Linked DNA regions of Arabidopsis thaliana. The protein of the gene in region 2 purifies or fractionates together with the protein of the main gene of each other region. This does not show direct contact. Each region holds a gene or a part of one and is shown on either strand. Other genes may lie near its edges. The genes, in order: SYP51 and SYP21.

Region 1 (4,715 bases), on a different chromosome or scaffold from region 2:
TTTCCTTGACTTTCAGCAAGAAGATACTTTAGAGTCTGAACTCGGGTTGCCAAAATGGTGATCTTTCTTCTCATCGATGAAGCATGACGTAGAGCATAAGATGATGTTTCGGCCAGTGAACTTCTTTCTAATATCATTCCATCAATCTCCTCTGAGAGTTTTAAAGTCTCATTCTGTTCTCTGATCCATGAATCACACAAAGAAGCCATTGACTTTGATTAATCCTACATAATCAAAAATCCAATACAGATCACTTTCAGACAACTTTTAACTTTACCAAGGATGTATATAAATGCAACAATAAGAACAACAAAAATCCAACTAGCTTACAAGAAGCAACAACTTCGATAATGGTATTGGCACATGTATTAAAGGAAGATCGGAGCAATTCAGCAACATATATATCTCTAAAAGAGAATCAAATTGCTCACCAAGGACCTTTAAATAATACATCATTGTCATTGAGAAAGAGATCAACTTGCTGAGTGCTGACTTTGTAGCCACGCAGCCAGACGGCAGTTTCCTTCGAAAGAAGACATCTTCTAAATACGAGACCATTACTTATATGATCGTAGAAAGGTAGGCCTACGTTGACAATTCTTGGCGAAATAAAAAAAGGAACATGCATTACACTATCTCTTGTTTTGCCTCTTACAAATGTAGAGATTAAGAAACAGTACACATGTATAAAATGAAGGATCAGATACGTATTTTGCGAATTTTGTTTCCAGTGATGATGATATGAATATTGGTGTTTTACAAAATTTCCACAATGTTCTTCTTATAACAAACTCAGACAAGTTTCTTCGTGGAAGATTCTACAGATAATTTTTGTTTTTTTGTCTCTGTGTTTGACTTGCTACCACTTCTTAAATCTTTATGAAGACAGCAAAGAGCAAACTGTGATAACTGCACACATTATATATTACTTAAAGGGTTTTGGTAACAGAAGAGAAATGAAAAGCTCAGCCACAAATGTGGAATGAGGAAATACATTGCAACCATTCACATAGAGAGTAGAGGCCAGTGGACCTACAGAGGAACTTATAAGTTGTCTGATGTTGGTATTACATATACTTAACCAACATCCATATTACAACAGCAAGACCGACGATCCCCAGCACTGACAAGAGCATTGACATGCAAGAGCAACCACTTCTCATATTCTTGTTCATGACAGCAAGGCTCTTCTGCACTCTCTGTAATAAGATAACAGATCAATGTCTTTAATTAGCCATTAGCTTAAGCATAATGTGGTTCTTGGTTGAGCAAACCGAAAACAGATCACCATTACATCAGTGTTACTCCTAATGAAAGTATGGATCAACTAAAGCTTGGGATTCACCAAAGTAATTAGTTTGTTGAAATATTTAAGAGTTGAAGCATATATTACCCTTAAGCGAGAGTCAGTAACATCCACATGGTAATCTAAGTCATCCTGCATAAAGGAAAATCCAAATGTGTTAGTATCCGAAAATTCAAATCAAAGGCGAAAAAATGAAAAGCTAGTGACATACAATAAGCCTAGTCTGCAAGTCAAGCTCTTCACTAACAGCCAGAGCAATGTGTTTTGTGCTCATGACTGTTCCCTCCAATTGCTCAAGTCCTTCGTCTTGTTCTACTCACAGGAAAATAAAACATTCAATAGGAAAAAACAAATACAGAAATCAACATCTGTATTACGTTTACTAGGATAAGAGAGGTTTTACCTCTCATAACTTGTCGTTGATATCCAACAATTCCTTGGTTATCCATGCCAGTAACTCTGCTCATGGAATCATCCGGCTTGATATCTGGCCCGAGCAAGCTGTCTCTATTGGCAAAGTTTGACATGTTCAAAGCATTCGCCATCTGGTTTGCTTTTGACCTCAGATTCCCTACCATATCCTTTCGCCGATTCATCTCTTTCTCTGAACTGTGTCAGTAAGTAATAATTCAGATTAACACTAACCTTAAAGGTGTCTAATTTACAGATTTAAGCAATTAGGATTGGACTAGTAAATGGCTTACATAGGTTTTCCATGAATTTCAGCAAGAAGAGACTGCAGACTATCTAATTTGTTACCGAAAATGGTGATCTTCCTTCGTATAGCTGAAGCACGACGCTGAGCATCAGGCCCTGTGACAGCCGATGAACTTCTTTCTGATATCATTCCATTAATCTCCTCAGAGAGTTTTAAAGCCTCGTTGTATGCTCTCATCCATGAATCCGATGAAGACGCCATTATTCCTATATAATTAAAAGCTAATCAAAGCCTGGATCACTTCCATTGAAATTTTAAAATGATCAAGGATATATACGTAAGATCCAACAGAAACAACAACAAAGATCTACAAATTGAGACAAAAACGCGGCCTTTGACTACAATTTTGAGGCACAAGGCTCAAAATCTGAAATTTACAGGATCATGAAGTCCATTATCAGGGGAAGATCAGAGAGATTCAGTAACAGATATAATCCCTCATCAATGACTCGGATTGACAAAAATAACATCGTTTAAAGGATCGAATTGCTTACCAAATTATTTCTCGGACCTTTGTATTCTTCAATTTGTCCGAGCTCGTACCATGTAAGAGATCGGCTTATTAAATGTTGAGTCTGTAGTCGCCGGAATCACCGTGAATCGGAGGAGAATGATTCAACCTGTCACGCACCGGGTAGCAGGGCCCGTCGCAAGAAAGATGAGATAAAGACGAAGCTGAAATAAAACGACGCGGTTTTAACTTGTTATCTTGGAAAAGTTATGGGTTAAATTAGTTATTTAAGAAAGTATGCGTTAAGAAGCAGAAAGAACATATAAATGAAGGGATCAATAAAGAATATTTAAATTTTCGACCCATTATAATGGATCTATCCATCTCATGCCTGTTTCTTCCGTCTCCTCTCTTCCTTGCCAGAATCCTGAGTTTCTCTCTGACTGTGCTTAGTTCCATCATAACTATATCGTTCTGATTGCAGTTTCCGTTTCGATTATCGTTAATGGTGTTTTTGTTTCCGGGAAAGTGATAAACTTTGAAGCGCGATTTTGGTGTTCTAAAGCAAGTTCGAGAAGGGGATCAGAAGATACATTTACAATCTCTCGAGTACGATTCGGTTCATGTAAGTGTTAGCTCTCTTGTTCTTCCTTCACAAAGTTGAATCTAAATCTCAATCCTTTACCTTTTCTCTTCAAAATCATGTTTTGTCTTAAAACATTGAATGTTGATTATTGATTGAATAAGTCTGATCGTTAGTGGCTGAAACTTGTTTTCAGGGAATCAATCGAGCAGTCTATAATCCCAGGTTTGCCTGATGATTTGGCTTTGAGATGCATAGCGAAGCTTTCTCATGGGTATCATGGAGTGCTCGAATGTGTTTCCAGAGGCTGGAGAGATTTAGTTCGTGGTGCTGATTACTCGTGCTATAAAGCTAGAAATGGATGGTCAGGGAGCTGGTTGTTTGTGTTGACGGAACGTTCTAAGAATCAGTGGGTTGCTTATGATCCTGAAGCTGATCGATGGCATCCATTGCCTAGAACTAGAGCTGTTCAAGATGGTTGGCATCATTCTGGTTTTGCGTGTGTTTGTGTTTCCAATTGTCTTCTTGTGATTGGGGGTTGTTATGCGCCTTCGGTGTCATCGTTTCCTCATCAGAAGCCTGTTGTCACTAAAGATGTCATGCGGTTTGATCCGTTTAAGAAACAATGGAAAATGGTTGCTAGTATGCGAACACCACGGACTCACTTTGCTTGTACTTCTGTCTCTGGCAAGGTTTATGTTGCTGGAGGTCGTAATTTAACTCATTCCAGGGGAATCCCATCTGCTGAGGTTTATGATCCTGTCGCTGATAGGTATTTTTTCCCACACTAATGTGGTTTATATTCTCGTGTAGGATAGAACTGGCATATTTAACCCCACAATGTACTCTTTTTGTTTTTTTCTATGATGGGTCAAGATATAGTTTTAAAAGTTTTCTCATGTTTCACCTGAAAAGCTATCAAACTGGAGTATGACATAGTAGTATTGCAGGTGGGAGGAATTACCAGCAATGCCTAGACCACAGATGGACTGCTCGGGGTTATCGTACAGAGGCTGCTTTCATGTTTTAAGTGACCAGGTGGGATTTGCAGAGCAAAATTCATCTGAAGTTTTTAATCCACGAGACATGACTTGGTCCACTGTGGAGGATGTCTGGCCTTTCTCTAGAGCCATGCAGTTTGCTGTTCAGGTGATGAAAAATGATCGGGTGTATACTATTGTAGATTGGGGAGAAAGCTTGATCAAGACTAGGGATACAGATGAAGGGGAATGGTACAATGTTGGTTCAGTTCCTTCTGTTGTTCTTCCTAATCATCCGAGAGAGTTAGAAGCCTTCGGTTATGGGTTTGCAGCTCTAAGGAATGAACTCTATGTTATAGGAGGTAAGGTCCTTAAATGGGAAGAATCAGGGGCAGGGAGATTTGACATTGTGAGATTGCCTGTTGTGAGGGTATGTAACCCTTTGGATAGACCTCTGAATTGGAGAGAGACCAAACCAATGTGCATTCCAGCCGGTGGGTCGATCATTGGTTGTGTATCCTTGGAAGAATCTTCTCCCCCTTAACCAAGGTGATAGAATCTTTCTTGATGTATAAAATTGGTATGTTCAATTCTTTGATTGTTGCATCGTGAGATGTAAAAGTAGTTAAAAGGAACCATGGAAAGCACTTGGTTGTCATTGATATCTTCTGTTGTCT
Region 2 (5,182 bases):
CAAATATAGGTCAAAGTCCGGCTCAAGGAGCAGCACCTGCAGACTCTTGGAGCCCTGAATTTGATTTAGTTGGATGCGAGACAGATAGTGGAGAGTGTTTTGATCCAATAATGGCTGTTTTAGATGAGTCAGAAGGCGATGCAATTTCTCCTGAAGGTGAGGGCAAGATGAATGAGTTACTGGAGGGAGTCCCTAAGCTGCCCGGAATCCAAGATCCATTCTGGGAACAGTTCTTTTCTGTTGAACTCCCAGCGATTGCAGATACAGACGATATTCTATCAGGATCAGTGGAGAATAATGACTTGGTATTGGAACAAGAACCAAACGAGTGGACCCGTAATGAACAACAAATGAAGTATCTTACTGAACAAATGGGACTGCTTTCCTCAGAAGCACAGAGGAAATAAAGGTAAGAACATCGTTAAGTTCAAACATGTTTCTCTGCATTGTTGTATATCTTGAGAGTTATCAATTGTCTCTCACAATGTAGATTTTCAGGGGAGGTTGCAAAAGGAGATATGAAGGAACGAGGAATATATCAGATGGTGTGTATACCCTTTACATTTTTACTTAAATGAAAAAAAAACAGAGAGAAGAAACATAAAAGATTTACCACCAAGCTTGTGAATAGTTAGTAGAGATCGGTTTTTGTGTTGTTTATATTATACTTTTGTGTGAAAACGTTCATCTTGTTCAATTATCATCTCACTAGTACGGTAATCTGTTGGTCACTGACCGGTTAATGACCAAAAAATCAAGATTATTTTCTTATGTTTATTTCTTTTGATCATGAAGATCCTTATGATGGAGTAATACATTGATTAAACATTCACACGATGAGAAGTTAAGATCAATTTGGTTGAATGGGGAAGATGGAGTATAAAGAATCTGTACATTAGATATATATCTTTAATGGGTCTTTGTATAGTTTCCATAGATTCGCTTGATGCTTGAAGATTGAAGCTTGGAGTTATATGTTTGATGCTTAGACCAAGACAACGATGATGACAATGAGTAGAACAATCCCAAAAATGAGAATAAGTAGGCATGTCTGCAACAAAGTAAAAGACAACAAACTTAGCTTAAGCTGCTAAGAATATGAAATCACAGAACTGAAAATGAGAAGAGAGTCTGTTTAGTCCGTACCAAAGAGGAGTTTGATCTTTGAGTTTTAGCTGCTTTTCTGAGTTGAACAGTGGCTTGTGTAGTTGCAGCATGTGAGTTGTCAAGGTTAGAGCTGATGTCATCTGCCAGTGCACATTATAGTTTTTTTCTGAGACTTTAAAAAGGCAAAGAGAAAACGAACAGGGAGATTTACAATTTCTGATTGTTTGGAGTTACTTACCGACAATATTTCCTTGATGGTTCACCATAAGAGCTAGATCTTTGAACATGCCATTCACATCACGAATCTGGTCTTCAATTTCTCGAATCCCTTGCTCTCTTTCCTCAATAATTGCTTCATTGAATGTTATCTCGTTATCTAAAAACACCACTTCTTGCCTGGAATGAGAATATAAAAAGTTAGCGAATAGCAAGCATCTCCCTGCATCCAGGGACATAACCAACTTCGAAAAATTTATTAACCTATTCTAAGGCTTCTATTAACAATTCAGGCTACAGTGAGTGCCAAGTGTAACGATGGTTTGAATTTGAACTCTCGAGAGCAAAATGCATGCTAGACTAACATTTGGTTTATGCTTATAATTGATCAAATGAATTAGTAAAATAACATGCTAGCATATAATCAAATCACACTCCTCACCTTCTTGATTGTAGAAGAAGAGCTTGCTGCTGGGAGATCCTTAAAGATTCAGTATCCAGTTCAGGTGCATTATAACTGCATGGTGTGGCATGACAATGAAGCATGTGTAAGTGAAACTCACATTCCACAAAATATCAGAACAATCCTACGTTCAAAAATTCTTTTGTACAAAACAACAATAATAACATGCGAGTATATAATCCGGAGACTTTTTTTCTTCTCATTTAGGAAACAACGAGATTCATTTACCATGATCTTCTGTTTTTTAACAGGTATTGAAACATAACTGGTCAAAGTGGTTACCTGGTAGGTATTTCTTTTGTGACCACAGGAGTATATGTTATTTCTCTTTCAGCTGCAAGTCTCTGAGCTTTCTGAAACTCTTTGAGAACTGATTGGAAATCTTTTGCCAGTTTAGCATCAGCTATCTTCTTAATTTGCTGCAAGAATACAAACATAACATCAAAACTAGAATACACATATCATCAATCATGTAAACAATTCTCCCACTAAATGAATAAAATGGTACGATTCTGACAAAATTAAACCAAAATAAAACTGGTTCAATAGAAAATGTTCTCTTAGACACTAACATTCCATAGCATCGTAAGGGAATGAAACAAAAAAGTAAGCATTTGCTTACACTAGCTGATCCATGAAGGTCGGCTTCGCTAGCTTCCTTAAGTTTAGCTGAAGTATTCTTCACCAATTCGGATATCTGTAACCTTGTCTTTTGCCTGCCAACAAAAGAACCTAACACTTTAAAACAATTCACAGAACAAATAGATGAAACCAATCTAAAAAAAAAACAATTTCTCAATACACACACACACACACACACACACAAAAAGCTCATTATTTGCAATGTTGTCAGGCATTATTTGCAATGTTGTCTCACATCGATCAGCAAACTCAAATTTGTTCTTCGGTTAAGGGAAAATAATGCAGGATTAGCTTCAAAACAATTAGAAAACTTTTTCAATTAAAAATTGAAATGAAATCGACCAAAATCAATAAGTAAAACCAAAACCCTAATCAACAGAGATTTAACAAAGAGAAGAAGAGTGTGATTAAGAATTGCTACTGACAGCTTATCTCGTAATTCAAGAGTATCTTTAGGTGTTCCGATCGAATTAACGAGGCGGAAGAAGGAATTGACAGCCGTGCTGATCCTGAAAATCCCGGCGGCGACCTCCTGAGATGGATCCCCACGAGACGAAGGTCTCTGTTGTCTCCCACCGGTAAAACGATTCGGCGCCGGAGATCGAGTACCAGCTTCGAGATCTTGGAAACTCATCGTCTCTTCTCTCGAATCTCTCGAAATTCTCTTATCTCTATCTCAGGGGAACAAACGAAGACGAAGATGATGGAAATGAGTTAGGTGAATTATAAGTTTTCCCAAAATTTAATGTTAATTTTTGTTTTATAATTTGTATAAATCATTTAATCTCATGTGGTCCGCGTGAATATGGTGGTGGAGGGAATTTATTAATACGTATAAATTATTTGGCGGTGACACGCCATTGCGAGGGAAGAATCCTGCGTGTCGTTGTTGACCTCACCTGCCCTTCCGTGTAAAATTGAAACTCGGTTCGAGTAAACCGGACCAATTGAGTGGGTTTGCAGGATAAGGATTGGTTAAATGATTTTGGGCTACATTGGAGTTTAGTAAAAGGAAAAGAGAAGAGTTGGGCCAAAAACAAGGAGAAGTCCAACTTTTTTGTAATTACCAAGTTATCATATTTTATGACTGAATTAATAATTACAGTAATCACTTTGATACATAAACCACTTTTTATAGAAAAACAATGATATATTTTTGTTGATAAAAAGTAAAATTTTTATGTATTTTTTTCTAATAAAACATAAACTTAATAATTGTGTTACGAAACTCCTAACTTTTGTTTTGAACTGAAGAGGGAAAAAATAGAAATATATACTAAAAAAGTGAAAATATTAATTGTTGGAAACAATTAGGGACTAAAATAGGATTAAAGGGCGTAACGCAAACCCACACGTTGAGTGTGAGGTGTCATATAAAGCAAAATACACTCTTCCCTCTCTATCTATCTACGCATCATCGATCTCGAAGTACGTTTCGGTTTTCAGGCCAATCTCTGAATCTGCGTGACAAAAGCAACAAATTACATATCTCTCTCTCTGCGCGACTTCGAAGATCAACATCCATGGCGGTATGCTCTACTTTTTTTTTGTGTATAATTTTGTTTTATGCGGAAAAGGTTTAGGTTTCCTCTGCTGGTAGATATTGTTGCGATCCATTTGTTTATCGGGAAATTTTCTCAGGATTGATATTTTTGGCTATTGATTTGATTTCTTCTTCAATTTGGATGATCTGTTGTTTGATTGCTGCACTTGCCGACATAATATCTCCAATGCTATTTGGACGAGTTTGATGATTATTATTGTCGTTATTAATTGATTCTGTATCTCTGTGTGATCTGTATTCGTGCAATTATCTCTATTATCTCCTTGATTTCTCGGTTTTGGTTTTCGTTTATCGTAGTAAATCGCGATTGTGTTATTCTCAATTTGGAACCGAATCTCGCTAGCCAATTTACTTTTAGATTCCTCCATACATTGTCGATTAGTTTCCTTAATTGGTAGCCTTCATGGTTCATTCGAGTTTTCTTTTTGTATAGTGAGATGATGACAGTCATCTTCTAAGCCACTATAATATTATCCCTTTACTTGCATAATTGTATAATCTTGTGATAAATCTAGGCTTCTTTGAGTTTGAGCTGATTTGATTAAAATGGGACTTTCGGTCGATTAGATATGCTTGGATACAAAAAGTAGTTGTACTGTAAACATTCTCATGAAACACCTGTTTATTGTTTTCGTTAATGATTCTTTCCCTTTTGATTCTTTATGATGACAGTCACAGGTAAGGTCAGTAAAAGTTGGCAATCTCTCTTCAGGAGCAACTGAGCATGATATTAAAGAGTTTTTCTCTTTCTCTGGTGAAGTTGAAAGCATCGATATCCAAAGGTTAGTGATATTGTTTCCTTGTTCTTTGATTTCAAAATTTTGACATTTAAAGCTTTTTTTGATCAATTAACTTCCGAAGCTTTTTCTCAGCAAATTTAGATACAGTTCTCTTAAACTTACTGACTCTGAGCTTTGTTTTTGTTTTCTTTTTCTAACTAGCAGTAACGAGCATAGTGCTTATGTCACATTTAAAGAAACTCAAGGAGCAGAGACTGCTGTGCTCTTATCTGTGGGTTCACTCTTATCTCAATATTATTGTAGTAGCATTCAACTCTTACATAACACTGTTAATTTAGTAATCAATCCATGTCTATAAACCTTCGTTTAATATGGTTATACTTCTCTAGTCCAGACAAAGTATCTCTGAGTATTTATAAGTAAAATTAGTTTGCTTACAACTAATATTTG

Evidence for each region.
Region 1: the proteins of SYP21 (region 2) and SYP51 purify together in Arabidopsis thaliana (affinity purification with western blotting; 2 studies listed by BioGRID, with this or other methods). This does not show direct contact.

What each region holds. Positions count from the first base shown.
Region 1 is NC_003070.9:5,554,116-5,558,830, forward strand, and holds SYP51 (syntaxin of plants 51), read right to left. Parts: upstream 2,730-4,715; 5' UTR 2,519-2,729; intron 2,500-2,518; exon of another isoform or gene 2,336-2,499; intron 2,246-2,335; exon of another isoform or gene 2,231-2,245; 5' UTR 2,226-2,230; coding exon 2,011-2,225; intron 1,916-2,010; coding exon 1,710-1,915; intron 1,619-1,709; coding exon 1,518-1,618; intron 1,439-1,517; coding exon 1,394-1,438; intron 1,200-1,393; coding exon 1,068-1,199; 3' UTR 728-1,067; downstream 1-727. Other genes in the region: AT1G16230 (Target SNARE coiled-coil domain protein), read right to left, coding at 1-209; AT1G16250 (Galactose oxidase/kelch repeat superfamily protein), read left to right, coding at 3,099-3,100, 3,255-3,830, 4,009-4,582. UniProt on the Arabidopsis thaliana protein: Vesicle trafficking protein that functions in the secretory pathway.
Region 2 is NC_003076.8:5,532,091-5,537,272, forward strand, and holds SYP21 (syntaxin of plants 21), read right to left. Parts: upstream 3,206-5,182; 5' UTR 3,063-3,205; coding exon 2,854-3,062; exon of another isoform or gene 2,503-2,853; coding exon 2,409-2,502; intron 2,206-2,408; coding exon 2,069-2,205; intron 1,841-2,068; coding exon 1,766-1,840; intron 1,504-1,765; coding exon 1,346-1,503; intron 1,248-1,345; coding exon 1,147-1,247; intron 1,052-1,146; coding exon 986-1,051; 3' UTR 756-985; downstream 1-755. Other genes in the region: HSF3 (heat shock factor 3), read left to right, coding at 1-407; BPA1 (binding partner of acd11 1), read left to right, coding at 3,952-3,957, 4,665-4,774, 4,934-5,003. UniProt on the Arabidopsis thaliana protein: May function in the docking or fusion of transport vesicles with the prevacuolar membrane.